Oreochromis niloticus: one gene and its partner. Each later gene encodes a partner of the first gene's protein in a complex. Links are inferred from orthologs where the notes say so. Each region holds a gene or a part of one and is shown in the gene's direction. Other genes may lie near its edges.

What was found.
Region 2: dis3l (region 1) and exosc10 share a complex: the UniProt entries of both Homo sapiens proteins name them as parts of the RNA exosome complex. The link is inferred for Oreochromis niloticus from reciprocal best matches to the Homo sapiens genes DIS3L and EXOSC10.

What each region holds. Positions count from the first base shown.
Region 1 is NC_031965.2:3,297,292-3,313,980, forward strand, and holds the start of dis3l (DIS3-like exonuclease 1), read left to right. Parts: upstream 1-7,603; 5' UTR 7,604-7,748; coding exon 7,749-7,878; intron 7,879-10,849; coding exon 10,850-11,000; intron 11,001-13,866; coding exon 13,867-13,995; intron 13,996-15,540; coding exon 15,541-15,676; intron 15,677-16,689. UniProt on the Homo sapiens protein: Catalytic component of the RNA exosome complex which has 3'->5' exoribonuclease activity and participates in a multitude of cellular RNA processing and degradation events.
Region 2 is NC_031984.2:22,527,002-22,543,893, reverse strand, and holds the start of exosc10 (exosome complex component 10), read left to right. Parts: upstream 1-8,262; 5' UTR 8,263-8,350; coding exon 8,351-8,476; intron 8,477-8,993; coding exon 8,994-9,130; intron 9,131-11,535; coding exon 11,536-11,659; intron 11,660-11,746; coding exon 11,747-11,851; intron 11,852-12,039; coding exon 12,040-12,199; intron 12,200-12,529; coding exon 12,530-12,638; intron 12,639-12,735; coding exon 12,736-12,811; intron 12,812-12,900; coding exon 12,901-13,011; intron 13,012-13,136; coding exon 13,137-13,280; intron 13,281-15,349; coding exon 15,350-15,540; intron 15,541-15,651; coding exon 15,652-15,808; intron 15,809-15,999; coding exon 16,000-16,148; intron 16,149-16,314; coding exon 16,315-16,365; intron 16,366-16,506; coding exon 16,507-16,618; intron 16,619-16,765; coding exon 16,766-16,813; intron 16,814-16,889; coding exon 16,890-16,892. Other genes in the region: cntn3a.2 (contactin-3), read left to right, coding at 467-564. UniProt on the Homo sapiens protein: Catalytic component of the RNA exosome complex which has 3'->5' exoribonuclease activity and participates in a multitude of cellular RNA processing and degradation events.

The sequences.
Region 1 (16,689 bases):
CCTATCCTGTCCTGCACTCGTACGACGCTGCTCTCTTTCTCTCCCTTCACGTGGGAGCTCTCCATCTGTTTTGTCTATAATGTGTTACTCGTGCATTTGCCCTAAGGACAGAATTCATGATGCTTTGTAATGGCCAGCCCCATCGCCCTCCCTCCTGTCCACTCTAAAGTGCCCACTAGGCAGAACCACTTAAAAATGTTTCATGTTGCTTTTCTTCCTGCTTGCTCGGCCTTTGTTGCACGATGAATAGGATGCTGAGAGCCGATGGGCTGCTGGCCTTAATGGTCTCTCCTTTTTACCTCCACCTTATGAGCTATTTGAATTGCATGGCTGATGTTTTGCCATTGCCTCATCCTGAGAGAACAGAGCTCAAACTCTTTGACAAATTCTCTCCATAATTCATAGCTTCCCCCTACACCCACACACAAACCTTTTAGCAATCAACCAGTTATTCTAATACCATATATAACACTACTTGCTATTACATTTTCCTGCATCTTTTTTCTAATAACCAGCATAAGAAGCTCAGGCCACAAGAGCTGGAACTCCAATATGACATGTCCTTGAGAAACAACAGCTAGCGTTCTCCCATTTATCAGCACTGATTACATGTATTGATCTGACAGAATATGTAGGATTCCCTAGAGAAAGGGGTCAGCAAACTGGAAAATCAGCTGCTGCTGCTGCTGTTGCTTCAGCACAGTATCGTGGTCTGTCCACAGTAAGATGGAAAGATCACATCAGATGCCAACGACCAGCAGCTCTTAGGTGAAAGTCAGCATTTAACAGGCTCCTGCTGCCAAATTTATTACCTAGTAAATACACAACAGTAATTCAGTGACATGGCGCCATCCCACCAATAATCTCGCTGATTTATCTGGTCATGTTTAAGAGTCTAATAATGTTAGTATACAAAATAAAGTAACAGGAAACTGGCTTTCTGCTGGCATGAAAGAAAAGGACAACACTGCCTAGTTTATGAATTTTTACAAGACATTTGTGCATAAACTCGAACTTTCTTCCTGCCCAAACCGTTTATCTTTTTCAAATATTGCTTGACGTGCTAGATGATGTAAATGTATTTTCTCCCTTTCTCAAAATGAGCATGAATATAAAAAGCATTTTGTGCCAAAATAGGAATGGAAATGGAAAGTCTGGTTTAATGTGCTAGTAGACTGACAAACAGTACTTTCAACACTATGCACATACATCATTGAATTTCAGGGACAAGAAAAAAAAATCTTCCACTTGTCCCACAAAAGCCCAGAGGAACAGCACACTGCTTCCTCTGATTTTCCTGCTGTATACTCTGTACCGAATCAGGTATTTAATGGCTGTGATTGTGATTGCAAGGCGCAGCGGACTATTTGGTTTGTATGCATGGGAGGATATCTGGCCTACAGGAACTATTTTCTACTGGCGACACACTTCAGTACCCTCAACAGCCTGTTATTCTTTAAACACTGGAATTATGTTTACCATTTAGGGACTAAAACACAAGTGCAGCAGTGTTGAGGGACTATTAAGATGCGGCCTATGGAGGAGTCAAAGTGTTGTTTGACATGAGCTGAAGAACAGATTCTCAATCAGTGACTCCTATTAATACAGCTGCAAGCAGTCATCTGCTCTGTTGTTCTGTGTTCTTTTGTGATCTCCTGGATGAGTTGTCAATCACAGAGTAGCCATGGTAGACCAGCAGCTCCTGGCAAGGTTCCCCACTGCTCCAAGATTTCTAAATTTGTGGATGATGGCTCTCATCATAGTCAGTGACTTTCTTTCTTAGTCGATTCTTTAGATTGTAGCAAGAGTTGCTTTTAGCAACCTTTTAGCCTACTTCACTTTGTCAGACAGGTTTTAAGTGATTTCTTGATTCAGCTGGTCTGGCAGTAATCGGGTGTGGGTGTTACTGGTGAAAGTGAGCTCAGCGTTCCAAAACTTACTTCCAATACTTTTTCACATAAGGTCAGGTAGGTTTGGATAGCTTTTTTTTCCTTAATAAATTAAAACACAATTCAGAATCTGCACTTTATTTCTTACTTGAGTTATCTTTGTTTAGTAATAACATTTCTTTGATGCTGTGAAACATTTAGGTATGACAAATATCCAAAAAATCCCAAAAGAGATAAGGAAGGGGGAAATACTTTTCATAGTACAGTAAATACCACTATAATGGTTTGGCTTTACTTAAAACAGGTTTGGTTTTGAACCATCTCTTCCAAAGTATTTCAAAAAACTATAAAATAATCAACCCACAACAGCCTTCAAACTAACGTTCATCACATTATTTGAACTTTAGAATAATCTTTAATCTAAATAGAAAAAATTAGATGTTTTGTAAAAGCACATCAGAGTTCACATTATATGATGACTGCATTAGATAGATAGATAGATATCATTTTAAATCAAACATGTAAATATAACAGAAATAATAAGAGAAAAGAAAAACTTCAAAACATCAAGTTTTCATGAAAATATCTATATCTACACAAGGTTCGTGCTCGAAGAGGATTGGGATGAAGTTTTTCTGTTCCTACCCCCTTATTTCACATTCCATTATTTACAAGTCAATATTCAGAATTTGGAAACTGAAATCAGAGGATCGGAAATCCGTATGTACTGTTACTACACAGCTGCAAGTATTAGTTAATGTGGAAAAATGTGTTACATCTGCCAAGCTAAACATATCATCATACAATGTAAAGCGCCTTCAGCCAACTGTTGTTGGCGCTGAAACTGAATTCAAGTGAAGTGAATTGATTTCAGAAGTACCTGCTTGATGAGCAACAAAAAGGAATTATTTTGTGTTTGTTTGGGGGGGGGGGACTTGATAAATGAATTTTGTCAAGCTTTGCACTGGAAAAATGTATTCTATGAAAAGATAAACAAGACCTCGGGGCATTTTTTTTATTTGTGTTTTATTTGAATCTAACAGAAAACCCATGAGGGTTTTTTATCATTATTATTTTTATTTAAAGTGCACTTTTTTCTTTTGACAATGTGGATTGACAGGTGTTTGATATAATAAGAAGGCTGTTTTCTCTTTGCTCATATATTTTTCTTATACTATTTTTTTTATCTTAAATTTTTGTTATTTCTTTTTAAAATTCAGCGTTGCGTGAATTGATCATTTAAATCGCAAATTTCAGAACATTATCTAGCCCGAAGACAACTGGGACTACATCTGTACATCACACTGCTCTCTTCTTTCTGTCAAACATTGATGCAACTCACAAGCCATGTGCTCCTGACACTGAGGTCTATAAGTGAGCCTGCAGCCACCTAACATCGCTCTCATTTACTTTGTTTTTCTTAGATAAATGCATTTTGGATTTCTTACAACCTTATCATCTTGCCAAAGGAGTGCTAGTGGTACAGCCCTGACCTGCACATGGTTCTGAGAACTTATGGTCTTGAACTGTCGATGCCACCCACACAGCCTCATCTTAAAAAGTAAAACTCATTTAATTAAAGTAAGAGCCCAGGAGTCGTCAAAAGCTGCATTACTATTATTGCAAGGGCATGTTTGTGACAAATGCCAACCGTGACATATTGCATAGCACTACAGCTGCGCAATAAATGTTAACTACTTGAAAGCAGAACACAAAACAGAAATTGAAAAGCGTCTCTCTTAAGAACTTGCATTTTCTTTGTGAGGCTCTAAATTGACATATATCACTCTCTCTACTGACTTTGAACTTTACATCGTCACCGAATGCAAATATTCTATTTATTTCAACCAGTGGATGTAACGTTCAAAGACACGCAACCTCCGCATACACAATGGAAAGCCTCGTGGACCACCTCCAGGTTTATGTGTCTTGCTCAAGATCGCCATCTAGCGCTGACAGCTCGTTAAACTCTGCCTGCTGTGACTCCTCAGGCGGATTCGGTGGATATACTACAACAGCAATAATCATTCTGTTGCCCAATTATCATCCTAATTAATAAAACTTAACAGTTTCATCTCTTTCATAAAAGAGTCTGGACTGCTGAGGACTGTCTCAGTGCACAGTCACACCCTTTTAACACCAACAGGAGCTGACTGCAATAGCAATTGATCAATCAGCTGCTTAATTTTTGAACTACATCCACATGTAAAAGAGTCGACTGTGTTCCTGTTAGGGGATCTGAAGTTTAGCCGTGGAGCTTGTAAACTGAACAGAAAAGTGGGGAGATTAACAAAGAGCCAACTTGCGGTAAACAGGGCCAAACCGTACAGTGACGGGACAGCAGAACAGCTCAAAAATTAGTTATGAAACTAACTTTTGGGGGAAGCCAGCCTCATATTATCGCCAGAAAGACAACAGTTATTAAATCATTAAATCGCAAGAAATAGCAAGAGGTTATTGTGCTTATATGGTTCAAAATCTGGTTCAAAAGTGCTCATGTAGCATATATATATATACATAGAGAGAGAGAGAGAGAGAGAGAGATTATTAATATTAGGAAATATAATTACAAACTGCTTCCTGCGGAATAGTGATTTTTCGATATCCCCCTTAAACGAATAACTGTGCGTGTAGAAAAACAATGATAACATCATTTTTAGTGCTTACCTTTAGCGGGGATGCGTCATTTTACAACAGACTTTTTCAAACGATGCCGGTCCATAAACACGAGTTAAGTCCTCAGCATCTGTGTCGGAGCACTTCTCAACTTGAGCGCAGAATCTGTGCTGGTGCTCTACTGCAGCTCCTCTCCACAGCACAGCCAAAGAGCAGCAGAGGCAGCAAGAGGAATGACCCACTTCGCCTGCTACTTTGCATTGCTTAACAACCACTTCCTCCGCTGTTTAACAACACACATTGGATCAACTTCAAATATTCATTTTGAGCTGCTACTCTTTTCTTTCTTATATATGAGCTGGAGGAGGTGGCTGGGGAGAGGGAGGTCTGGGCTTCTCTGCTTAGGCTGCTGCCCCCGCGACCCGACCTCGGATAAAGCGGATGAGGATGGATGGATGGTCTATAGTTATCTAAATATTTACTATTAGCTCATAATAACAAGTGTTTCTAGCAAAAGTAGCAATAAAACAGTATGAAAACACCTCGTTACAAACAGAAGTTGAAGGTATTTCCCTTCTTTGTCAGGGTCATTACTCCAAAAAGTAAAGAAAAGTAAAGTAAAAAAATATACCTGACCTCTACCCACTTTGTTTCCAGCAATGCCCCAGGTCAAACCAAGTTTTGGTGGACCAGGGTCTGGTGGAAAGCCCGAGTCTACCAATGCCTGGCCTATTACTGGTACACAGTACGTCTCTGCCAGACCACTTGAGGGTGTCCCACTTCCATTACCCAGTTATCCCAGAAAACACATGCTGACTGCCTACACCTTGAACACACATGGTCTGGTGCTTCTGTTGCCCCCCAGCGTCTGCAGCCACTCTGACCTGTGGAGACATTGCAGAAGACAAGGGATGAAGGGATTAGCAGATAAATAACTGAGAGAAAAGGAGCATCATACCAACAGTAAAATATCGCTACATCTGTCACTACAATCATCTTCCTCTGCTTGTCCACCACTACTATGTTCGGTTGGTTTGTCTGTCGGTATCTGGAAGTCCCACAGGATCTTAGCTTGGTCATTCTCGACCACCTTTGGGGGCATCTCCAATTTTGACCTCAGGACTTTCAGGCCATACTTGGCACAGATGTTCCTGTATACCATGATTATGGCGTTCCAAGTATGGCCTGCCTGCTAGCATCCTGCAGCCTGCTGTTATCTGCTGGATTGACTCTGTACACAGCCTGCACCTGGGGTCTTTGCCTGGTGTGATAAACCCCAGCCTCTATGGATCTTGTACTTAGAAGTTTGTCCTTGTGCTGCCATGATTAGTGCCTCTGTGCTGTCTTTCAGTCGAGCTTTTTCCGGCCACTGGTAGGATTTCTGGAAATCAGCCACTTCCTCTATCTCATGGTTGTACATCCTGTGCAGGGGCCTGTCCTTCTATGATGGTTCCTTGTCTTGCTCCTCTTCTTTCTTGGGTTTCTGCTGCCTGAAGTATTCGCTAAGCACGCAGTGAGTTGTTACTATCTTCCGGATGTTTGTTGCCTCATTTGGAACGTGGTTCTCACACTCACTAATCACCGGCCGCCTTCCTTCTGCTTAGCATACAGCCTCAGGGTGAAACCCTCCATGCATGGTGGCTTTTATCTCCTCCTTTGGTCAGCTTATTATTCCAGCAGTGCAAAGGTGTTGATATCCTGGATCTTGTTATTACCATTCAGGTGACTCGGCAGGACTATGCCAGTTCACACCTGGCATACAGCTTGATGTCATCCATGTAGAGGAGATGATCACTGCTCCATTCTCCATGGAGAAAGTGTATTTCCTTGGTGAATCCAGCATTTGATGGTGACTTTGTTATTGGAGTTAGCCTCTACTGTTGTTTGCCACATCCCCATTGAGTTCCTAATGAAGGCTCTTAGTGTCCTGCTGATCTTGTATAGTTCTAGGCATTCCAGGATTCATGTGTGGGGCATTGAGTCATAGGCCTTCTTGTGGTCAATCCAGGCAATCCAGTAAACACAATGGTTAGTCTGGTCTTACTGTCTCGGGCGACTGCTCTGTCTACCAAGAGCTGGTGTTTCGCTCCTCTGGTGTTTCTGGCCAGTCGTTGGCTGCTGCACCCATTCTGGGTATTTTACTGTCTATGCATTTACTCTTGGCTTGTAGTTTGGTATCAAAATGCCAAGACTGCAACACCAAAAACACTCAGCTCCCTTTTTCAGTTTGGAACCTCACTATTAACTAGTTGTGTTACTGAGGTTACTGAAAAGTGAAGCCAGTGATGTTTTTGTATATCATGGTTCCATTCATTAAGTATAAAACAGGCAATTGTGACTGACAGTCTCATTCATGCATGCAGTGTCCTCATATTTGCAATCCACCATGTGTCATATGTTAAATAAAAAAAACAAACAAACATACAAACAAAAAAGCCCCTCAAACTCTATTCTACAGAGTGGGTGGGTGACATGACCATGTCACGGCTGCTGTGTTAATCTTTAATACACATTCTGTCTCTTTCATATGTTTTAAGAATTTTTCTTTTACTTTGGTATTACATTTAAATGACATAGAGATTACAGTAGCATCAAAATTGTAACATTTACACACTGTTTTAGCACTAAAACACTAAAAATGTGCAATATAAATGAAGCCTTTAGTATACATCTGTAGTATTCCTTGATGCTTCGATATTAATGTAGTTTTGCTTAAATTTGTGGAAATGGTAAGGTTTACTATAATTACTCGATAGCATAGTGATTAACATACTACAGTGCTGTAGTGTAGTTGTGTCAGGAAGGGCATTCGGCGTAAGACTGCCAAATTAAAACATACAGACAAGGGAGCAGCTCAGATTAGCTTTGACTCTAATTGCCAACATGAAGATGTATATGAATTAAAGGCTTTAACTTTGCTGCATTTGGACAAATGGTAATGCAGCTTGGGAGCCTTAAGAGCTGATATTAGTGTTGGCTCTTATATCGCTGATCCGAGTCAGTACCGAGGTCATCAAAAAGACCAAGAATTCCTATTACTGGCCTGGGTGAGCGTCCGACAGCACTTGAACGCAGCAAGACGCGGTACTGCTTGGGCGTCATGACGTCAGCAGTCGTGCCTTTCCTTCCGTGTTTCCCTGAACTTTGCCGTGAATGTTTACAACCGCGTCTTCCCGCGTTTTGGCAGAACAGCAAGTTAGCGAGCGCCGGCGGCTGTATGTGGCTCATTAGTGAGTGTGGACGATGATTAAAACGGAGAGAGTCCTGCATTTGAAAAGCTGCGTGGGGCGGAAGGTCCGAGTGGTCCGGGAACACTATCTGAGAGAGCGGGTTCCCTGCTGCAGCTCACTGTGTCAGGCCGACTGTGTAAATGGTAAAATCAGCTAAATCTCAAATTCACAAAAACAGCTCTTTGTTTGCTGCTATAGAAGTATCTAACGTTGCTGTTAATGCAATACTGGCAGGTAGTGGTTTGGGGGCGTACACAATCAAATGAGGAAAAATAACTTGTTTTAACACGTAATTTTTATTATATTATATTTTGCTTCACTGTAACATGAATCGTGAAATAGCAAAGTACATACAGTATGACCCAAAGCTAGAATTACCTTGTATGACAGTTAAATGGCAAATCCCACCTGTGCACAGATAAGAGGCAAGGGGTGTTGTGCCAAAAAGTGATTGTCTGCCAAAAACTGATTTCCGGTATTTGCCGAAAACTGATTGCTTGTATTTAAACTGCTATAAATAACTTATTGGTCTATAATATGTGAAACATATGTCAAATGTATCCCTCATCAATGATATCAAGTCATCTTGAGCAACAAACAACATTCCTGTAAGAAGGTAGAAGCCGCAATCAGTTTTTGGCAGTGACTTTTATATAAGCTTTATTTATAATAATAATAATGGATTGGATTTATATAGCGCTTTTCAAGGCACCCAAAGCGCTTTACAATGCCATTATTCATTCACGCTCACATTCATACACTGGTGGAGGCAAGCTACGGTTGTAGCCACAGCTGCCCTGGGGCAGACTGACAGAGGCGAGGCTGCCATATCGCGCCAGAGGGGCACTTAAAATGCACTTAAAAAAATTCCTGTTCACTTTAAAAATGTCTCTTTTAAGAGCAATCTGGCCAAGAGGACAGCTGAAATTGCAATAAAAGCAAAAATAGTTCTGTAAACATATGTTAAGTGACAAAAGGGAGCTGACTGGTTATAATGTAACCAGTTACAAAGATACTTGAGAAACAGGTAATTTTTTAATTTTATATATAACCCCTTTGTAATACCTGTTCACCAAAGTCTATTTAGCAACATATGTTACGATATTACACATAAAAAAACACACGGAAACATTGGAAATCAGTTTTTGGCAGGCAATCACTTTTTGGCACAACAGTGCACCAGTCTGACTTTGTCTAGGTCAGGTGTAAAACCAGTACTTTGTTCTGCCCATACAAGCTACCGATCTGAGACCAATGTTAAATTAATATGCGCTATTCCTCACTGTGAGGAAGAAACTCTTTGATGTAAGAGGCAGTCAGGATGCACTCAAAGATTCCTTCCTGATTTTGTAAAATGTTAGTAAAATGCAGCAAATGAATACATCCAAGAATATACGTTTAGTGAGTTAGTGTTTATTGGTTAAAAAATACATTTGAAGGGATGAAAACAAAAAGCATGTTTTTGTTTTCACTAAATGTATTTGGACTAGTTAATTTTAGCTCAGTGTAAGAATCTTTATTGATCTGTGCTTTATGGTTATGACAGTTCTTCTTTCACTGCTCTCAGTCTTAATCTAAGTGCACATCTTCATATGCATGTAATGCATGGAGTGGAGCTGATGAGAGACAGGTGAATTGGTGTAATATTAATCAAGTTGACACAATCAACAGTACTATCGTAAGTACAATAAAGTGTTCATAGTAGTTGTTAAACCAAATATATTTAGTGAGAGCATGAAAGCAAGAGAGAAAAGCCAACAGGTTTGTAGAGCTTTTTAGTGATGTCCACTCACTTGACCACAGTTTGTTAGAAGCATTCAAAGAAAAGCTTTGGGCATAGCAGGTGTAAAATGCCTCCAGGCTGCCAGCTCTTTTGCTGTTGGTTTCCTTCATGCTATGATCAGCTGGTGATCTGCTGCTGACAGTGGGGATGTAAACGCAGAACAGTGTAGAACTGGACAGATTAGAGCGTTGTCACCAATACCTTGTTTTGCTTTTTGAGTCTGGACTGCATTGATATGTGATCCAAATACTGGATAGGTGCACCTGTAGTGAAGAACAATCACTTAAGCTTGCACATTTGTGCTGCTGTTTAGTGTTTGAGGTGAGAATGATCAGCGCTTTTATGAAATATCAGTCCGAGTTTAAGAGGTTTTATCCTGTGTATATTGACTTCATCTTAATCCAGATCTTCCTTGTGTTTGTAGGTTATACAGCACACTGAAAACATTGTGAGCCACACCTCATGTCTTTGCATTTTGCTTGGAAAATAGAAAATAGGTGCAACAATTTATTGAAATATCTGAAAACTTAAAAAGAAATACATTGTATAAGACATGCCAGGTTTATGTTTATGTCAAGTTTTAGGCTAATAGTGCTGCGGATATCAGCCTGTTGGTGAAAAAGCACTATTTTATGAATGTCAGACTGCATTATCTTTGGCATTTTTCATAGATTCAGCTAAAGAAATTGGAAAAAGATACAATGTAATTATTTAATTATTTATTTATTTTTGCTGTCTTATAATGTCTAGATATAATCCTGGTTCATCCCTTGAGTTAGGTGTTTTTTATGAATGATTCATAGGTTAGGCTTAACAAATTAAAACAAAATGAAAATAGTTGGTATAATAACTGTGAGTGAAAAACCATCAAGTGTCCAAAGAAAGTCTTTTAGAAAACCTGGAAAACTGCCGCGGGGCAGCTCACTGTTAATATGATGGGTCATAATCAAGATAGACTGCATTATAGTCTGCATAATAATAACTTGTACCGAAATATGTCAAAGTAACAATAAATGTAATTTTTTGCCATATAATATGCTGATGATCATCTGGTGTGCAAATAAAGTAAAAACAAGTATTTTAAAGGGAGTGATGTGTAAGCACAATAAACTCTTTATATGGGACATTTTTGAAAATATTTAAATGCATTTCTCTGGATGTACATCGATTCCTGTAATCTGTGCAACGTTTAGTAGGAAACAAGCAAATGTAAAAGAAGGATGCTTTTAAGTGTCTTTTGGCACAGTTGATAACATTTCCAATAGGAAATCAAGCAAATAAAGAGCTGTAGAAACAAGAATTTATCGCTGAACATAGATCTTCCCAAACAGATGGAAAGCTGCTGCCCGGAGATTTGACCCATTATGTGGTGCCTGATGTTGCTGTCGTAGTCGACTACCTGGAGATCTTGGAGTTCAGAGAGCTGCAGGGCATCATCTTCACCCAGACTGCTTGCCAGGCTCTGCAGAACAAGAATCGCAGGTACAATTGTTTGGGTTTTTTTGTTTTTGTTTTTGTTTTGGCAAGAAGATTACTGGGAAGTAAACAGGTGAGTACTGATGTTCTGTTTTTGTTATTTGTGGCCCCTTTTGTTACATGGAAACTGTTTTAGTTCTTCATCATATAGCTTTTGAACACTTAGCCCATGTAGTGTTGAAGAGACACATTGACCACTGAAATCAGTAAATGCTGATCCATCCATCCTGGATATGTGTTATCCAGTCTGTCGCAGGGCTAACACACAGACAGGAGACAACCATTCGCACTCACACCTACCTAATTTTGTGTTTCCAATTAACCTATCCCCACTAACTGCATGTCTTCGGACTGTGGGAGGAAGCTGGAGAACATGGGGAGAACATGCAAACTCCACACAGAAAGACCCCGGCCTGATGATGGAATTGAACTCAGGACCTTCTTGCTGTGAGGCAACAGTGCTAACCACTGAACCACCGTGCTGTAAATGCTGATATCAGGCAAAATACCAGCTGATACCAGTATTAGGCTGATGAATTGGTTAATCGCTAACAAGTAACCAGCTCTTTATTCTATGTATCTTGTAAATGGAAAGGAGAATACTCCACTTTTTACTACTTTTTAGCCAAACACAGTAAAACTAAACTAAACTGGGACATGGCTCTGAAGCTAGCTAGATGAATACAAACATCTCAGCTTGCAGCATAAGGAGCTTGAACAGACATTTGAGAGCTACCTGAAGCATTTTGTGTTTTTGCATCTGTGCTGTTTGCACCGTTTAAATCAAACTCTAGTTCATTTTTCCTGCTGTTCGGTTTTGTTTGAGCAGATGTAAACATAGTCATTTCACTCTCTTACATGCCAACATAACGGCACCAGTATATATTAGAGGATGTGGCTTTGGTCCAGTTTCAAACGTACTCCAGTGTGGTTTTTATTATGGTGAGTACTTAATCCGACCTCAATCTGACCCAACTACCTGTTGTACCCTACAGGATTTAGCGAAGCATCTTCTCTCATGTAGGTCGGTATAATTTGTATTCTGGGCTGTGGCAGAGTAACAGATATTCATTAAAATGAATGCAACTTCTCCGCGTTGTTAACTATCCCCAAACACGGCACCTGCTTCCTGAAATACTCAGTAGCCCATCTGGAACCAGTAACCTAGCCGTGCTCAAAGTCTTTTAAATGACTTTCCTCCCCATTCTGATGCTCTTTTTGAATTTCTGTTTGAAATGTTGGAGTTGCATTCATAATTCATAGTCAAGCTGTTAGCTGTGTGCCCAGCTTAACCTAGCTACACACGTTTTTAGACTTTGACCAGGGGTCAGCCTCATTATATCAAAAGCTCTGCTGACAAAGCTAAAAGAGACACAGCCTGTGACTTGAAATATGTGTCCAGCATAAACATGCAGGAGAGCTTTGGACAAACTTGATGAGCACTGTAAATAAGAAGTCCCACGTGAACTCGGGTTTCAGTCCAGTTTATTTCTGATTTGTGCTCACACAGCCATTTTACAGTGTTGCATCATTAATATGATGAGGCTTCACTTTGATAGTGTTCGGTGGACATCTGGTGAAACATACAGAGTTGTCATACTGAATCACTACTTACTGTTTTCCATTGACTTTAACGTACACGGCAAAGAGAAAAAAGCTTCATCGTGGACTCTCTTTGCAGTTTCACTTTTGCAGAATTGCTGAATTTTCTATACATCATCTTTATTAGCTCAACTAGAGATCGGGGCATTTGTAGACCTTTATTTCTCATTTCATCTGTTTGATCAGTACAAGTGTTAATTTTTAGTGTAAAACAGCTACTGCATGTACTCTGCTGTTTTAGTTCACCAAAAACTTTGATTTTTTTTTAACTGGGCTTTTATTGTGAAACTCAATTAAAGGATAACAAAGCCAGGTGGCATCCTCTTTCACTAATTTCAGATCAGGATCTTATGTTTAGGTCTATTGCATATTATATAACAGGCAACTCTTTGTTTTGTTTTGATTTTTACAAAAAAAGAGTTAATTTAAAAAATGAGTCTGTGCCAAAATGAACAAGGGAACATAAATAAAAAGTTAAGAAAAGTCAACATACGTTGCTTTGATCTGTTTTTTCTCCCTTGTGCTTCAGGGTTAACGTTCTGTTAACATCCCCCACTGATAGGTTTGTGTAGCACACACCTATTGCTGGAATGCCAAGACAATTCTACTACAATGGCAAAAGCAAGATGCAAGTCACCAGAGCTCTTTGTGTTGCTCGTGCACGAGGGAGAGAACTGTGACGAGCGCTGTTCCTTCCGCTCGAACCCCAGTCACTCTCAGTTAGCTCCCCCGTAGCACTGCTCTTTATTGTGGTTACATGAATATGCATAGGTTCATTAACATATGACGTCTTACACAAGCATACATGTGAACAAAGAATACCGTCTGTGTGTATGTGTAGGTATGCGTGTGTGTGTGTGTGTCAAGATGTGACCCTGTGAACGACTCCCCAAAGCCGGTGCCAGGAGTCCAGTGGTCCACCTAAACAAAGGGCTCTTATACTTAAACAGATACAGAGTAGGTGTCCTCCCATAGTATAAATCAGTAAGAGAAGGTATGACCTCTCTCATGACCTTAGGATGTGTGTGCATGACAGAGTGCTCTGGAAGGCACACAAAGTCTTTGCAGACTACTAAGGATCAGACCTTTATCATTATGCAATCGATTATAAACCTCTAAGCATATATGAATATATATTTCTAAGCATAAATGACAATCCACAATATAAACCTAACACCCACCATTCTCCCAAACTAATGATAGGGTTTCTTGAGTGTAATTTATGATTTTATTGAATGTACTTGTTTTTTTGTCATGTGCGTTTGTGCAGGTATTACAACCGGCTGCGAACCCTTGTCAAAGACCCTCGACACGACTGCGTGCTGTTTGCCAATGAATTTCAGAAGTACGCTTACTGTCCACGAGAGAAGGGCGAGAGCCAGGAAAAATGGCAGACCAGGTCGGTGCTCATTATTTACCACACTCACTGAAGTGTTTACATTAGCTTGTGCTATGCTACAGTCAAGATGCTGCAGCACATGTATCATAGAAATAAAGTCTTTTCCTTTCTCATGTTTTCCTCTTTGTCATGTTTTTTCTTGTACTTATACTTCTTTGACTTCCTTTTGTTTTTCTGGGTCAAAGTGTGACGTTACATGTTTCACTATGTGAAATTTGTAAATCTCATTAATTAAAATGGAGATTATGCTAATTAAACATATTCAGTTCAGTTCAATTTTATTTATATTGAGCAAAAATGCCAACAAAAATCCCCAATATTGCCTATTGCAGCGTAACTAAGGGAGGATTCAGGGTCACTCAATCCAGCCCTAACTATAAATCAGAAAAGAAAGTTTTAATCCTAATCTTAATAGTCGAGAGGGCGTCAGTCTCCCGTGTCTAAATAGGAAGCTGGTTCTACAAAAAAGGGCTTGAAGGCTGATGCTCTGCCTCCCATTCTACTTTTGTAAACCCCACAAATAAGCCCGCAGTCTGAGAGCAAAGTGGGTGTGTAAAATGGGTTTGATTATTCAAGGCTTTTATGTGTAAGAAGAGGAATTTTAAATTAAATTCTGGATTTAACAGGGAAGCCAGCATGGGAGAAATATGTTCTGTTTTTCTAGGATTGGATTAACTGAAGGTTTTTCAAATTATGTTTTTAGGACATCCTGATAATCATCCAATCACCCAAAATGTCTTTGACTGTACCTCCTGACTACTTCTGCTCAGCAACTCTTGAAAGGAAATTGTGTTTCTAAAAATGTCAAGTTGCCATATCTGGGTTTCAAAAAAATATTTTGGGAAAGTGACATAAATGTATAGTTCACATGTGCGCAAAATTCATCTGGGAGATTTAATTTAAGAAAGTTTAAAATTTAAACATTAAATTTTAACTTTCTTTCAAATTGTGCAACAGGCCAGCGGTGCAGATGCATATGGCACTTAGAGCGCATGTACTGGCTAAGATGTCAATCAAGCATTCCTAGTGTTTTGTCCCAATAGGGGTTCAATGGGTAAAGGGGTAATTTTAACGTTTTAAAAAATGTTTTTCCTCTACTTCAGGTAGAAAACAAGTGCAGGAACAAAGAAATCAGGAGGACTTGTGAATGGCAGCTTAAAGTTATTAATATTTATACCAGTTTAATACAGAAAAGCACCAAAATGATTTAATGAGTGTTTTTGATAATAGAGACTTTGTTGTAATGTTAATCATGATCTGACAAACTTTTATGTTGTGCCAAAAAAATGAAACTAGAAGTGCAGTGTGTACTCATGAAATGTGTTTATTATATAGATAAGGCACTCAATTATTTATTATTTATATTCTTTCTGTGGAAGCACCATTTGAATTACAAGTAGTGTGAAATTATAACTACCACCTACAAAACAGCAAAAACTTAGTGGGAGATGTTAAAGATTACTGCTTTAGCGGGTAATTTGCCTTCATGCATCTTATGCTAAACTTGTGAGTTCATTTAATGTGTGTGTGTATGTGTGTGTGTAGGTGTGTGTACTCAGCTGCAGTGTGGTACTACAACCACCTGGCAGGAATGATGAATATAGTGATGATCACTGAGGATCCCGAGGCCGTAGCTCAGTTCAGCAGCCTCACGTGTGGAGTGTACGTCATCTCTGTCCAGGTATATGAAATGCCTTTATAATACCATCTACTCTACTCTATATCAGCTTCTTATATGTAGCCACCTTACAGGGTTTTATCATCATGCATTTAGAGAAACTCATGGTTTGAACACCTAAAATTGAAAGTCAGCTCTTTGTGTGACATTGTAAAGTCGTTGTGTTGGAACCTATGTGATGGAACAATTGGTTGGTCTGTATTATTTCAATAATCTTCAATGGGACTATTGTAGCATATAGTAGGCATTACGTTTTGAAACACTTACATGTTTGGCAACAGTATTAGTGGTTATTATCAAACTTTCAGTCATTACACATGATTTCCTGGTTAAGCGACAAAATGTAAATATATGTGGCATTTAGTCTGTCTACATACAGAGAGCTACACTTTGTTTTTCAATTCGTGTCGGCCTAGCAAGCATGCTGTGGTTGTATAAAACACAGTGACAATGAGTCAGAAAACTATTAAACTAGTATGTAAATGAGAATTTAACTAAAGTTGAAGGTCACAGCGTCATTTGTGACGATCCGAGCTCTATGTCAGAAAAAAAACAGTTACAGTTTTTACCTATTTGTCGACACACTGGTATCGCCATTTAAAATGGTCAATAAATGACAGTTAAAGTAAAGAAGAGAGTGTAGAAACACCCTTTAGCCATGTTATGGGTATTGATATTGTATGTTTGGCTTTACAGGGTACTCTGCATCTTTCCTCTTGGCAACGTGTTTGGAACGCCGCAAACACGAGCAGAGAGTAAAATCGTACTGATACCAAGTCTGATATTTATTTAAAGAAAAAAGAGAAAAGAGCAGTACTTCTACATGCTAATAGCCGTCAAATTAATATTACATCACTTTCTATTGTGATACATTTTTGATACATTGCTGCCAGATTTGTATATTTTTATCCAAATTCCTGCCACTTTGACTTGCCACACTGCAAAGTACTTCAGGATTCCTTCATGAATCGTTGCTCTGTGAGATTAACTGAATCGGTGCTGTGGCTAACATGTAC
Region 2 (16,892 bases), on another chromosome or scaffold:
CTGCCCTAAATGCTACTTTGCATTGTTGAACTTTTGTGTCGTATCCCTGAAAACAGCAGTTCAGAGAGATAGAATTCAACATGTTTTGGGGGGTTTTTTTGTTAAATGGGCTCATCGTTCCCAGAGAAGCAGGAAACGCGCTGTCTGGCAGAGTCATTTTTATCAAGTATATTATATAGTGAGAAAGCAGCGATTGAAGCAAACTGCATCAGTGTTCTGGGTCCTTCACACTCACTTCCTCTAATACATTTTTTACCCATGCACTTAAAAGCCAGCACATAAACGAGTTTGGACCGCATTTTAAGTACCCCCATGAAACGTCAGCATGCATATTTTATGTTTTGACAACCTAAGCGTGTTATTCTCAGCAGCTGACAGAGCAGAGAATTGAAACTTTGGGTTAGAAATGTGTATTTCAGACGGATGTCAGCCACGGTGCTTTTACCTTGTTTTTCTTGTATCCCAGGTATGAGCGCCCGTGGCTCCAGAGCCTGCAGTGTGGAGATCTCCCCCCTCTCCCTGTTCCTCACCATCGCAGTATCCTCATTCAGGTCATCGTTGTGACACAAACAGACTCTGCTCTGTTTTTTCAGCATTCACTATTGGCTCTTGTTTTGTTTTGTTTTCTTTAATTTGTGAAAGTGGTCAAGGTTTTTTCTTTTCTTGCATTTTTTTTTAAAGTACCGCATATTTTTTTCAAGTGTTATTTTGCAAGTATGCAGCAGCACAAGAGAAGAGTGTGCTGTCAGACACTTAATTAACAGTAAACGCTTGCTTTTTTTTTTCTTACATAAGTCTGTTTTGCCACTTTTGCTGGTTGGGAACAATGCTCCATTTCAACTCTTTTTTGACTCTAGAATGATACAGATGCCTTACTTCCATTCATGTGCCAAAGTAGTTTCAGCCTTCTCGTTGTTATTGCTAAGATAGCTACATGCTTTCCTCAACATTTTATTCCTCACTTTTCTTATCACGAAGGTCTCAGTGAACCTTGCAGAAAGCCCTGAAGAGAAGTTTATGATTGTTTGTTTGTTTCCTTGTATTTCTGAGTTTTCAGTTCTCTCCAAAATCAGAAAGTAGGGACATGTTCATTCACCTGCGCCCGTGCCTTGGAGATTCTTGTATCGGCGTCACTTATAGACACTGGTTAGTGGTACTTTTCAGAACATACTGCAGCCATCTCCATCTTTACGTGATCCTTTAAAAGTCGGTTGTGTCCCAGATGAAACTCATAAAACACCTCATAGTGCCGTTGTCCTCCATTTACCTTTTATCTTTTGATTGTGCGGAGCTGAATGTACCATGAAAGCTCCTAAAAGTTTTAATGCCTCACGCTAGTTATAGTTATAGCCTGCCGAATGATGGATTTGACTTTGCTCTGCGTTCACAAATTTTACATTTGCTTGTATACAGCAGTACCGGCAGAGGTGTGTAACTGCCAATGTAATTCCTTTTTTTCCAGCACCAGTGCTTCAGCAAACTTAAACAGCAGTCATTGAAGTCATTTATCAAAGAAAAATGACAAATGTTCACCGGCTTCAGCTTCTCAGATGTGAGACTTTGTTGTTTAAGATGTAAAACACAGCAAGGTGTACCTTTTATTACATTTCCCTCCACAGTGTTCAACTTTGAATGGGATTGCAATGATCTGCCAACAAACCACTATATGAAATCAAAATTAGAGGGTGATCTAGTTACTTTTGTATCGGATTTTCTAATCTCACTTTCCTGTTTTCACATTAATTTTTTGGAATATGCAGTATTTCCTTTATCTCGCTAGGCTAAAGGTTTTGCCTGGACCCTGTACTACAAAGTGAGTTCAGCATACTCCGGGTATTTCTCCAGTATCAGAATTCAGTTATCCTTACGCTTGGTAAGCTGGTTATCAACTTGATAAGTCAACCCAGGGTTTAACCTGCACGTTCTCGCAAAATGATCTGCATGTTCTCTGGCACTGGCAGCATTTGGCCAATCACAGAGAAAAGAAGATAAAACTATGCAATGGGAAAAAAATGAAGAGGTTAAAAATGAAACAGTCTGAAACCAACACAGCTGCTGCAGCGTGAGGAAAAGCGCTGTACAGTAGTTTAGTATTAAAAGCGCTGTATGAAAGCGTGAGCATTTAGCCTGTTTGAAGCCAGGACTGAAAAAATGCCCACTGTGTAAGTTTACTGAATTATCAATATCACAGCTCTATCATTAAAACCCAGGAGAATCTGATGGGTTATAATTGAATATTCCCTTTAATTAATGTTTAAAAGACAGTTTTAGGTTTTATTCTTTCTGCTGCAGTCCTGGTGGTGTTTAACGGTCCGAGAGTTAAGAATAAATATAAAATATAGATAAGTAGCTCCTCTGTTTTAGGATTTTAGGATCACATATTAACGCTTTCAGAACAATAAAATTGTTGTTAAATTTATTCCTGATGCTGATCAGGGAAACTCAAAGATTTCCCTTTAGACCCTCCTGTTATCCACAGATGTGAGGGATGTTTCAGGAATCATGATGCTGTTTTTGGAGAATTGATTAATCAGTAGGAGGTGACTTCATACCTGTTGGTTGCTAAAATGGAACAAAAGCTTCTTTAGCTTCACAGCATGAGTTACTATGACGATAAAAAGCGAACCACCTTCATAGTACAGAAAACCCAGGGTTAACCTAAAGTTACCTGGATAGAAATCCTCTGCTTTGTAGTACAGGCCGCTGGTTACTGACCTTTGATAGCACGAAGAGAAGCAAAATGTCATTCAGTCTAATGTCACATTCAAATGGATATTTCCACGGTTGGTTAAAAGAGAAGACTGATACCACTCTCATGTTAGCACACTGACAATGGGACCAGTGCGTAAGCATAGCTTAGCAAACCGTCAGCTTGACTTTGTCCAGTATTCACAGCCAGCACCTCTGAAGCTCACTTATTTGTTTACTTCATCAGACGGGGCACGTCAGGTAGTCGGAACAAACAAATTTCTCTATCTGACTAAACTGACAATATCAACAATCACTTCACACCCACTTCACGCTGTGATTTGCCAGCCGTGTGGAGGTGAGAAAGCAAGCTGGGTTTGAACTTCTCTGCCGCGTTCTTTTATTTGTTAAACACCAGTGTGTTTACACGGAAACATTGCCAGTACTTTCAGTTAAAGACTCAAAGTCTCTCTTGGACAATTATTGCATTTTACACCTCACGTCGGTGTCAAAGAAAAATTCTTATGCTTCCGACATGGTTGAATTTGCTCTTTCCTAACAGAGCTTGGCACTGGTTCTGTTGTTAATGCACGCACAAGGGTGGTATAGCATCTCTATGATAGAGTTATATAGGTAAGGTAATACAGTTTAAAGAAATGACACAAATAATCTGAACTAAGGAGTCTCTTTGCTTGTTTGGAAGCTTTCAGCTACATTTCTCTCCTCCTGTCGACTGAAAGCTCCATGAGTGAAGCTTATTTTGTCAAACCAGTTTAATGCTGATGAGCTAATTTATAATAAAGCAGCTGCCTGGTTACCAGATGCGAAGACACACCTAGGCTACGTTCACACTGCAGGCGAAAGCGCATCAAATCCGATTTTTTTGACCCTATCCGACCCATATCCGATCATGGTATGACAGTGTGAACGGCACAAATCCGATATTTTCAAATCCGATCTGGGTCACTTTCGTATGTGGTACTGAATCCGATACATATCCGATGTTTTAGAAAGCGACTGCTGTTTGAACGGTCATGTCGCATTAAATCCGTCTTTTACGTCACTGACACAAGACAGACGCCAATTATCAGCGCCGGAGAAGACATCGCGAACGCTTCCTGGCCATCCAGTGTAGATGTCAGTGAAACTGTTGGGAAGACAACGTGAACATTTTATTTGTACTGTATAATCTGCAGATTCTGACAGAAATCTGCAGCTATCCTTTGAAGCACCGCTCCTCTAAAACAGCAATAAGGATCATTATTAGGTTATTTACATTATTATGTAAATAACAAAATAACTTAAAGCAAAAATTGGGAAACGTAAAGTCCGAAGTCTTTATATTAAAGGCCATCAGTCAAACAATATTGTTTGCTGTGGGTCTAAACAGCGCGTTGTGTGTGACATCTTCTTTTGCGCATGCGGGCCGCTTTGAGCGTTCACACTAGAGCGCGTTTGCTGTCGCATTTTATTTGTAGTGTGAACAAGCAGACAAAAAAATCGGATTTGATCAAAAAATCGGAATTGAGCATTAAGACCTGCAGTGTGAACGTAGCCCTAGTGGCCAATCAGAATCCAGAACTCTCATGTCTTTAATGTATGGCATGAAAAAGAAAATCCAATATGTTTGAGCTTTGAAACAAACAAAATGAGCAATCTGTGGATGTTGCCTCGAGCTCTGGGTAAGAGGGATATACATTGTTCACAGTTTTCTGAGTGATTAATGGGAAATACAACTGACTGATTAATCAATACCGAAAATAATCATTAGTTGCAGCCCCAGTCTACATCCATCTGGGACCACACAGCCAGTGCCAGTCAGCGTATATTCACAGCCATTGCAGTCGGGACGAGAGGTTTAAAGCGCTGCCAATTGTGCCAGTCTGATAATTGAAATCTAGCCACCAGCTTAGACATTATTTGGCTAAATGTGTGGTCAGCTGTGTTTTTAATACTCTGTGAATCTGTCCTTTGTTGTCAGTCGTATTGGTTGTTTTTTTTTTTATGTGGTCCGTGTTGTCATTGTTTATTTATGTATTTCAGCGAAACCCCGCAGCTCAGGTATTCAGACCTGCTTCACTTCATCTTTCAATAGCTCTGAGATGGCAGAAGCGGATAGATCTGAAATGTGTCAGCACAGGACACAGGGGTCTATTTAACAGTCTGACTTGATGAACGGAAAGCCTGATGTGTGCCAAGATTTAGCAGACATTAAAACATCTTAATAAATTAGAGCAGCCCTGCGGGGTTTCTGTGGGGAAAGGGCATAGGAGTAATGGTACTAATGACACTCACAGAAGGCGAATATATCAGGATTTAGGGAAGACTAAATCAGGACAATCTCATCAAGACGACACGATGAAAGGTGCGTGCGTAAATGTGTACGAGCATGATTGTGCACGGTTATTACCTTAGTCTGCCACATCATGGACAAGTGCTTTCAGACAACCATTTATCTATTTGCGGGGGGGGGGGGTAAACTCATTTCTTGTGCTATGGTTCAAGGCTTTGTGCGACTGAAGCATTGCGGACATTGAACGAGAGCAAAACAAGGTCAATGTGGGAGGCAGAGATTTTTAAAAAGTGAGTTTGACTCAGGGAGGAGTTGAAATGTCTTTCCAATTAACGCGGATTCCCGGAGCGAAGGAATAAGTAAGATTTAAAAAGCAGAAAGGGACCCAAATCCAAGGGCACATTAGGTGCATGTTGCAGGTAAAGCTCACATTAAATGTAAAGGTTTACTTCCCCGATGAGTGTTGAAGCTGTCTTTGAGTCCTGTTTCGTTGTTTTCGTGGCTCTACGTGTGGTTAATCTGTATACATTCTTTCATCGCAGAATGACATTGTTAGACTAACAGATGTTTACACAGGAAATGCATCATTCTGGCTAATTTTATTGATTATATGAACTGATAAAAAGAACTTGTGTCTTTGGGTACATAGAAGCATTGCCAACCTCTGTTTTGTAACGTATCAGTACTGTGGAGATGTTTTGAGTTTGACTTTGATCTTCTTCTTCTTCTTCTTTTTTTTAATGTTTGATATGGTTACTGATTGGGTTTTTTTCCCTAAAGATTCTGCACAAAGGTCAAGTGTTGTTTTTAACAGAACAATTAAGAGCCAGAGATTTCTAAATCAAAAGTTGGTGCGCTGAGATCTCCCTTGCCTTCATAAATGATGCTGTACATAATGTAAGTATTTCGTTTGGCTTTTTTAGCAACGCCCCCCGCCCTCCCCCAACCAGGAAACCAAACAGTGCTGCTTCCAATTGTAATTCTCAGTCAAACCCTGAATCTGAAAAATACATGAGCAGAGAGTAACATTTCCTAGCAGCTGCTATCACACACAGCCTTTTGGTGCAGTGACACAAACACCTACCTGTTACAAGGTAGCCGGCCAGTGCACAGTGGATAATACGAGTGGTATTATTTACGAGTACTTTTTGTCTTTTTATACCAATACAGCTTTACGATTTTCAGAAAAGGCAAATTTGATCCTAAAACGAGTGCGAGTAGTTTCATTGGATTTATAAGTGCGTACAGACTTTACGATTACAGCTCTGGGTTACAACGCTTGGCCTTTCTGTCGTGACTCCTCAATATGTTCATGTCGAGGTGATCTCCGTGAGATCGTGGCAGCAGCGTTTTCACATTGAAAAGTCATCAGCTGATCTTGATATGCTGAAGCTGTGCATGTATGATATCGTTTGGTGCATTTGTGTTTTCTAAATGAGGGAGTTAATAAAAACAATTCATTGAGGGTTCCTGTCTTGGATTTTTTTAAATCTTTTTTTTCTGAATTATATGTGTGCTGCTGTCATTTTCAGCATCAGCAGTTTTAGTGTGTTTTACTGCAAGACTGCAAGACTTTGAGTGGTGCCTTGGGGCACCGTCAAAGCTATAAAATGCATAATATTATGAAAAGGCGTATAAATGGAAGTAAATGTCAGCGGTAATGTCCTTTTCGGTGGCTAAAGAACACATCTAAAGGGTGTTTTGTTGGTTTTTTGCTGAATATACTAATTGTATTCTTACACTGTATAATAAGGACTGCCCTCACAGATATCAAATGCTTTGAATACTAACGTCACACGCCATATCGAAAAAATACAGTCTACAGCACACATCAAGCAGATGGCTTTTTTACTGTAGCCTTCACAAAGAGTACTGCTGAATTTCTTCTGGATTATTAGAGCATGTATTTGCTGAACTTCAGATACCTTCCACTAAAACAACAGAATGACAGGGAAAGCTGCTGTGAAATATTGATTGAGCCCAGTGTTGCAGAGATGCTTTTAAGATAATAAGAGGGAGAGGACCCTGTGAAGAGATCAATATGAAGGGGAAGTGAAGAAAAGATAGGTTTCTCCCTACATACCACAGATCATCCGTAATGAGCTAGTGTGTCAATACTTTGGCCGGGGCTCCTCGCATACCACTGACCACTAAAGAGCACCAGGCCACTGTAACTTGTCTGCAATTAGTGGAATTTTACACCAGACTAAGGGGAATGTATTTATGTCCGATTAGTATACTCATGGTGGTCACCTTAGCTTGAAAACTGCAAAGTGCTTCGTATTCAAATATCCCTTAGAGAGATATTGGCTGAGACATGATTGGTGTATATTGCCTCCCAATGCAGCAGATGCTGTGGCACGGTTGCTGCGGATTGCAAATGTCAATACTGCCCCCTAATGGTCCCACCATCCCAGTGCATCTCTCCAGGGTGAGGCAGTAAACTGGACATGAGGCTGTGCCTGCAGTATGACTGCACCGAACAGGTACACTGAGGACCAGAGACAGAACACTCAGTCATATTCTGATTCATAACCAATATTGAGTCAGTTCACAGTTTTAGAGGTAGAGGTTAACCCTAGAAAATCAGTATTATTGAAATAGAATTGAAGAATTTAAGTGAAAGTTATATCACAACACCAGTGTCTTCAAGGGGCTTCATATTGTAAGGTAAAGAGCCTACAATAACAGATGACCCCCTATGTTAAAGCACTTGGTGACAGTGGGAAGGAAAAACTCCCTTTCAACAGGAAGAAACCAGCAGCAAAACCAGGCTCAGGGAGAGGCAGTCATGGGGATGATGGGAGGAAGACAGTTCAGTTTAATTTATTGTGCCAAATCACAATAACAGTATCATTAAGGCTCTTTGTGTTGTAAGATGATGACCCTACAATAATAGAGCAAAAATCCCAAGAATCAAACAATCCCTTGTGAGCAAGCACTTGGCAACAGTGGGGAGGAAAATCTGCCTTTTAACAAGACGAAATCTCTGGCAGAATCAGGCTCGGGTAGGGGCAGGCATCTGCCACGATTTGTTGGGGGTGATGGGAGGAAGTCAGGAGAAAAGACACACTGTGGAGGAGAGCCAGACATTAATAATAGCTGTGGTGTGGTGTATAAACACAGAGTGTGAAAATAGGTGAATGAAAAAGAAACGTTTCCCAAGCCCCCAGCAGTCTAAGCCTAGCGCAGCATAATTAAAGTCAAAAATATGTGCATCCTGTCTGTGATACGGTCCGCCTTGTAGTGGCCCTTCCACCCCACACCGTTAGGTGGTGCTGTCTGTCCCTCGGCATTCAAGTGGCCCAGAAGAATCATCGAAGAAACAAGTTGTTTCCTGCGGTACACATGTACACAGCACCAAATTAAATGATGGCTTCTTCAAAGAAGAAAGATTTAAAGAGCAGTGGCCCTAAGGACAGTAATTCGGACACCAACGACGAGGACAAAGACGAGTTGTGTCCCGGTTTCAGAGACGTGGACGCTTTTGTTAAAGTAAGTAAACAAATCTGGAGTTCATGCTAGCAGGCAAGAACGCAACGTGGATGCCTGATAGCTGGTTGAAAACATACACAGCAAGCTGTTGAGACAAGATGACTTTTATACAGGTGTTTGTAAAGGTAAAGGTCGACGTTACGAGTCTGGAGTGTCTTTGCTGAATCGTTAGAAATGTGAAAGTCTGTAGTTAACAGTTATTATCATGCAGTGTAGCAAGTAACGGACGAAAAGTGATAGAAATCCAGTCCTAAAGTAGCTAATGGGACCAACCACACACTGTATTAAAGTCTTTGGTTAAACAGCCTATGTTTATATAAAGTCAACAGAGCCAGCAATGACAAAGTTCGAGCATTTTAAATTATGCAATAAGCACTATATCCATGCTGCTTTTCCCTGTGGATAAACCTTATTTTTCCCTCAATATGATGTAATAACAGTAAGTAATAATGAACATTTCAATTTATTGAAAATGGCTTTAAAGCAGTAACTAACAGCTCTATCTTTTTCTCTACAGCATGGGTTTGGTGCTGTATTATCAGCCACCAAAGCATCTGCCGGCCTACCTCAAGCTGGGGATGAATATGATTTCTATCGGAGCTTCCCAGGATTCCAGGAGTTCTGTGAAAGTCAAGGAGATAAGCTCCTGCACTGGTGAGAACATAGTGTGTTCTTGCATTATTTTATTCTTTAAATTCACAGATTCAACAATGCATTCAGTGAGTTAATCAGAATCAGAATACTTTATTTATCCCTATGGGAAATTATGTTGGTTACAGTGCTCCAGTACAAACAGTAACAAAAACAGACAATACAAGAAGTAAGAAATAGCACAATATATACATATGTATATGTATATATATTTTATATACACTACAGTGTATAGGAACACTACAGTTTTGCAGCAGTACACTCCACTTATAATGAAAACCGATCTTAATGATAATCAGACCACATGAATGTTTTACTTTTTAAACCTTAAACCATATCCGTATACCAAGCATATTTCAACTCATTTTAAAAAGTAATTTCCATCTATACCCGCTTGCCTCTAAATGTATATTACATTCTTACATCATTATTTTTACAAAGTACTTTGCAAAAGTCTCGAGCAACCCGTCATTTCTTGTCGGTGCAGCAGTTTATTGAAACATGCAAATGCAGATAAAAATACAGTATATAAGACAGAGACAGTTTGTACATGTGTCTAATGAGTTTGAAAGTCAACATTTGGTATGATCGTTTTTATTCTTCAACACAGCCTTAAATCTGTTAGGTAAGCTCTGTTGTAATTTCTTTAAGTAGTCTTCGAGAATGGTTCTCCAGGCTTCTTGGAAAACATTCAGGGCTCGTCTTTGGCTGCCCTCTGTTTCATGACAGAGGATCCACCATGTTTTTCAGGTGGCTGTAGACACTCACGGTGTAAGACCTGTTGCCACTGATTTTCAATCCAGTTCTTATGTAATTTGGCATATTCTCATTCTCTCCCTGTTTTCCTTAACAATGGCTTCCTGACAACCATCCTTCCACTGAGACACTTTCTGATTACTTTAATCCTCTTTACCTGTTGTACATAGTTTTTAATGCCTACCACTATTTCCTTGGGCCTCCATTTTTCCAGTTTCATTATTTTTTTTAAACAACATACTCCACACCATGCCAGGGTAGGCCAAATTTTCAGCTGATAGCTCACTGGGAATCACATTGTTGGTGCAGAAAGTGCTATTTTTATGTCCGTCAGACATTTCATTTCACGGGCATAAACTAGCGTTTTTCATAGATTCATCTACAGAAATGAGAACAAAAAGATGTTTTTTAAACAGGCTTCTAGTAGCAAAATGCCTAAAGATACAGTTGGCTGTGTGCCAAGTTATGTGTAGGCACAGCACTGGTTCCCCCTTTCAGTTGGGTGCCTTTTTAAAGCTTGCATGAATCATAGGTCAGTGTTAAGTGGCCTAAAAAAAATATTTCTTTGAACATGGTCAGATACAAGTACTGGTACTAAAATCAGTGAAAAAGCAGCCAGTGTCCAAAAGCCTTTGAAATACTTTGAGAAAGCCTGGAGAGGTATTGCTCAAGAGAAAAGCACTTTAAAAAAATAGCAAGAAGGTCTGGCTTCTTGGAAACGAAATACAAAGAAATGAACTCAAGACTTTTGCTCATACGCTACATGTACATGTGATGCTTCTAGCAAACACGATCAGTGATCGTTTGCTTCGACTGATGATGGGTTATAAACGTAACTGAAAGTAACACACCAGTATTAAGTTGTTACGTGTTGGTTTTGATATGTGTTTGGGATCAGTAGAATCTACAGTGTTTTACTGACTAATAGTTATTGCTTAGTCGCTCGCACTAATTAGAAATCTGCTGACATCTCAGTATAAAAGAATGCATGAGGGCAGCTGTAGACACGATAACTGGTGCCTGATATCGGTCACGGCCACCTCAGTTCCTGCAAAACAAGCAACTTCTCCCCACCTGTTTTAACCAATCAGATAGATGCACATTCTCAGATAAGACTTTGTGTAATGCCTAGATAGCTCCTCTCTTTTGGGAAACTGGCTGCAGCTAACTGCTTGCAGACTGTGGTTTTCTGAACAGAAGAGATCCATAATCATCCAGTGCTTTAATAAATACACCAAAAGGTGAAGTGTATCGACTGGTGATTCCTAAAGGTGGATAAACAATTGTGCGACATATGGCACTGGGACTTCTTACACAAGTAGAGCGAAAACACAATGATAACTATAAATAATGCAGCATAACAAAAGATCTATCAGCCTTAGTAAGCGATCAGACCCATCCAGGATGCAGACATGGCTGGCTGCCTTGTTATTAGAAACTCTTAATTGCTGGACCTCTAGATTAAAACACAAGGTAGCAGTTTTCAAACTAAACAGGGGTCAGCAAAGGTTTCCAGAAGTCTCCCACGAGGCTTTAGTGCAGACGTGCCCTTTGACATGCATGCAGATGAGTTGTTTTATTGAATAACTAACCTGTCACTAGCTGTGCATCAGTAAGCAAAATGTAATCTTTTCACTGTGCCTTTGTGTTAGTATGAGTCAGATAATGCAACACCATGGATGCAGATCTCACATGAGAGACCGGAACAAGCTGACAGGGCTGGAGGAGAGGTTCGACTTGGTCGTGGACTCAAATGACGTTATCCTCGAAAGAGTGGTATGACCCGCAGCGTGGGTGTCGAACGAGTTTCTACACGAAAAAGTCTTTGCAAAGTAACCCTGAGCTCTCATGTCTGATTTCCAGGGGATTCTTCTTGATGAAGCTGATGGGGTGAACAGGAGCCAGCAGCCTGTCATGCCTGCAGGGTTCCAGCCTCCAAAAATTGTCGTTTCCAGCTGGAATCGCAAGGTTGGCTAATTAACCTCTCCGCTATTACACTGCAGATGCCAGTGTCTGCTCTGGGCCGAATTCAAGAAGAAACAATATGTGCCAGACCTGGCAGTTGTTTCTTAAATCTCACGCACACACAAAAAAAAGTTTTTTGAAAGTTTTATGTTTGTTCTACACTTTTCCTAAACAATGCTTTTATTGATCAGGGGTCCAGTTCTAGCAGTCGTTCCGAGACATTTCGACTGCTCCATGCCAAGAACATCACACGACCTCAGCTGAAATTCAAGGAAAAAGTTGACAACAGCAACACGCCTTTTATACCCAAGATCTTCATCAAGCCAAATGCAGTAAAGCCACTTCCATCTTGTAAGACATGCTTTTCACTCTCATATTCTTCCTCATCCTATTGATTTCTCGTGTCAAGTTTTTGATTACAATATAATCACTTTAACGCAGGGATGTCAAACTCCTTTTATACCAGTGAAACTCTGATTTCTGTCAGTGAAAAGAAGTCTAACTGTAAATTTAATGTCTTGATGCATGCTCATAAAGTTAAAAAAAAAGTCTAATTTTCCAAAGCCATCCAGTGGGTGAGAGCGGCGTCTTTCCTGAGCTGATTCTCACCCCCAGGCCTTATGTTTGACACTCCTGCTTTAGCGTGTCAAACTTATTACCTTTCCTGTTCTCTATCCATAGATTTTACCAACAAACAAATGCGTAAAGAGAGGCCTGAGGACCTTGATGTCCCAGCTGCCCTGGCTGACTTCATCCACCAGCAAAGAACTCAGGAACATGTTGATGACATGTAAGCCTTCTACCTTGTTTAATATTCACATCATATATTCTTCCGTGTTTTGTTTTTTTTAAATGTGCAACTAAACTTGGGATTATGATCCATGCAGGTTTGCACACCCATACCAATATGAATTGGACCATCTTACAATACCAGAAAATCTTCTGTCTAAGCCAGAGCCTCAGGTAATACACTCATGTTTAATGTGTGATTCCTATAATATGATGCTGTCACTGTTGGTTAGGCCTCTGTCTAATCTGTGGTTTCTTTTCAGATGTACAAACCAGTAGCTGAGACAAAGTTGTCATTTGTTGATACACTGGAGGATTTGGTAGCTCTAAATGAAAAGCTGTGCAAATTGTCTGAATTTGCAGTGGACCTGGAGGTACAAAGCTCATATGCATAGTGTTGTGGTCCCTGTAATGTTAAAATTTTGCATCACGAATTTGTTCATTTGGACATTTTTGGACAAATTTCACTGCTCACTTTCTTCTTTGTTCTTCATCGCAGCATCATTCCTACAGAAGTTTCCTCGGCCTCACCTGTCTGATGCAGATCTCCACCAGAGGGGAGGACTTCATCATCGACACCTTGGAGCTCCGCAGCGAGATGTACATCCTGAATGAGGCATTCACTGACCCCTCCATTGTCAAGGTAATGGAGACACTCCCCAGTCATTTTCCCTCTGAATCCTGCTCTGCTCTATCAACAGCAGATGAGATTACATGTCTGGTTAGATTTGGTTTGAGGTGGGCAGCTGCACAGTTGGCGGCTGTTTTTAAAATTTTAATCTCGGTCCTGAATTTGTTACAGTGCAGTGGACAGGCATGACCTGTTGTTCTGGTACATGATCAGTGCAGCAGATAACTGGAATAAAAAATCTGTCTAAAGTGGATAAAGTGTCAAAATGTACCTTTTTTTGTGCTGCATACTCTGTTATGTTGTTCCAGCGGTCCAATGACAATTGCAGCACCAGCGTGTCATGCAGGTCAAGGATTGCCTTTTACAGCTTTGGTAGCACTATGATGCATACAGTTAGGTTCAGCCAGTTAACATTCTTCTGCTGCCATTTTTTTCCTGTTCAACTCAGTGAATTTCATGCATTCTGTTCAGGAAGACTCTTTTACCCTTTGCTCAGCTCTTGTTATCAGTTTCTTTTTCTTTAAGTGTTTTTTCTTTTTAAACAGGCCAACACAAAGAGGCAATTTACTGTCACACCAGCAGCCATCTTATGATCACCAGTTAAACAGACAGGCATGTTTGGACAGGTTTAAATTTAGATTGTCCCGGTGCGAGGTGACCGATGCACCACAGTCGTGTGTCAGTTATTTGTGATATTGGCTTACTCATGTAACTAATCAAGTTCGTAAGGTTAGTTAGTGCTTTGCCCTCTCTTAGTTTACTATATGATACATGGACTGTAATTAATATAGCACTTTGTTTTACTCTTAGTTTGATACAGGAGCTAGGGATCGAACCACTGACCTTCTGAATAGTGGACAACCTGCTCTAAAACCTAAATTACCATAAACAACATTTTTAAGGGCCACAGGCAAGAATTGGGTAACCAGTGGGAAGTCCAAGGGTCCATCTGGGAGATATGACCATAACAAATAATCGTACTTGTAGTACTACTCCGCGCACACACAATTGCTAATTGTAAAGAAAAAATCTCCTGAGTACTGTTGACTTGACAACTCGTTGCGACAGATGGCTGTCCCTCCCCGAGTCTGGTTCTGCCAGAAGTTTCTTCCTGTTAAAAGAGAGTTTTTTCTTCCCACTGTTGCCAAGTGGTTGCTCAAAGTGTGTCATTCAACTGTTGGGTTTTCTCTATATTGGGGGGGGGGGGGGGGGGGGGTGTTGTTTGTAAAGCACCTTGAGGTGACTGCTGTAGGGATTCGGTGCTGTATAAATAAAATTGAATTGACCTGATATGACTTTTGATTGGTTAAAAGTGCATGATTTGACACTAAGGTCATTCAAAAAGCCAAGTCCAGTTTACTGTATCTTGGGGAAAAATCATATACCCTGTTGGGATTTATAAATAGCTTATGAGCATTATCAATAAAGTGATCAATAAAGTTTATCAGTAAAATGATCATAAATGGGTTTACACACCAGTTTTTGGTGTTTATACCTACATGTGAATGATTTCCCTGTAATGTCAAATAGATATTTAAAGAGAAGCAGTCTGGTGGTCTAACTACTTGTCTTTCTGTTTTTTAAAGCCATGTTGCATAGTGCCATTACTTTCCCACATCTCAGAACTGAAAATGCACTTAAAATAGCCCCAAGGGAGTGTATTTTCCTTGGGGCTGTATCTCATCATCTCCTTTTTGATATTACATGGAGGCCTTTTGAAAAAAAAAAAAACTTCACCAGTGTAATGATTATAAGTTTGTAAAGTTAAACCCCCCTGAGCCGGAATTTGTTTGAGGTGTCCTTATTATTTTCAAACACGTCCGATAAAGTTGGCAGGCGTCCCGTGGTGTGTGTGGGAGCAGACATGACTCACTCACTGTAGGACACCTGTGAAAAAAGTGTGGTGCGTAGGCTTTAAACGACTGAAAGATTTGCGAAAATGATCCAAATGTTACATAGCATGTGTCCACTTTTTTGGAGAAAAAATATATAGATACAAAACGAGTCTTAATTATTTTTCTTTATTAAATAAGCTGTTCTGCACCGGTGAGGTTTCAACACTTTATGTTTTTTGTTCGTAGGTTTTTCACGGTGCAGATTCTGACATTGAATGGCTCCAGAGAGACTTTGGCTTGTATGTTGTCAACCTTTTTGACACACATCAGGCAAGCCGGGCTCTCAACCTGGCCAGGCATTCCCTCGACCACTTGCTAAAACACTTCTGCAGCGTGGACTCTGACAAACGTTACCAGCTGGCTGACTGGAGAGTTCGGTACGGTGACGACCTGGTTAATCAATGCATAGGTTTATAATTTTCGCTTAGCTTGAAGTGGCGTACGGTTGTTTTGGGGAAATTAAATATAGTCCACATTTGTCCACATAGCCCCTTGCCAGATGAGATGGTGCAGTATGCCCGGACAGACACCCACTACCTTCTTTATATCTACGACTGCGTGAGGGTACAGCTTCTCGACTTCAACCACGGACAGCCTGGTTTGCTGCAGAGTGTCTGGAACAAGAGCAGGAGCATTTCCCTCAAGGTGTGCACTTCATACACCATGAAGATTAAAGCGACACTTCTAAATCAACCTTAATAGTCTTGTTCAATTCTAATAGTTCCATTGGAGTCTTTAATGCTTCCATAATTTTTACATTTCCACACCATAACCTCCGAAGATTTTCTGACATTTGTCACGATTCGCCATGTGCCCCCCCTCTCTATCCCAAACAGAAATATGTGAAGCCTATCTACACAGAAGAGTCATATTTGGAGCTGCAGAGGAAGCAGAAAAAGTCTTTTAACACCCAGCAGCTCACTGCCTTCAGACTGCTGTTTGCCTGGAGGGACAAACTGGCCAGGCAGGAAGATGAAAGCACCGGGTAGGCTGCCTGGAAATGGATGGACTTCTTGTTCTGGAAATTTGCTGTAGCTTTTTTTTTTCCTCTCTCTAGCTTATCCTTCCTGTCCAGCTACATTTTACAGTCCAAATGATTTAGGGTTTGGAAGTCGTAACATGTTTTAATCCAGTGTTACCTGTGTGTTTAGATACGTCCTGCCCACTCACATGATGATCAAAATATCTGAGGAGTTGCCCAAGTAAGTTGACTATATTTCTCTTCTCTTTTTTTCTCTTCTTCTTTTTCTTTTTCCGGTTCTTGTTGTTTTCACTGTGGAGCAGATGAATTTAATGTTTTTATTCATAACCTCCAGCTCAGTATTTTGTCTTTACCTACACAGGGAGCCTCAGGGCATCATTGCCTGCTGTAACCCCGTGCCCCCACTGGTGAGGCAGTACATCAATGAGCTCCATTTGTTAGTGCAGGAGGCCAGGGAAATGCCCCTCCTTAAGGTGAGGAAAGATGAGTGGCAGCAGGGGGGATGTTTTGGGGGGGTTTTCTCCCCTCTTGGTATTATAACTTCAATGTTTGAGATGTCACTGATGATTTGAGGGACCAGGATCAGTCAAATATTGCAATATCTTTTGCATTTCACGCAGGCTGAGATTGCTGCGCAGAAGAAGACAGGACTCACGCCCATTAAAAAGGTTGGCTTAAATCCCATTGATTTTGGAGGTTGAATGACTGCAGGGGAAATGAACGTGGTTTTATATCATTTTCCAGCCT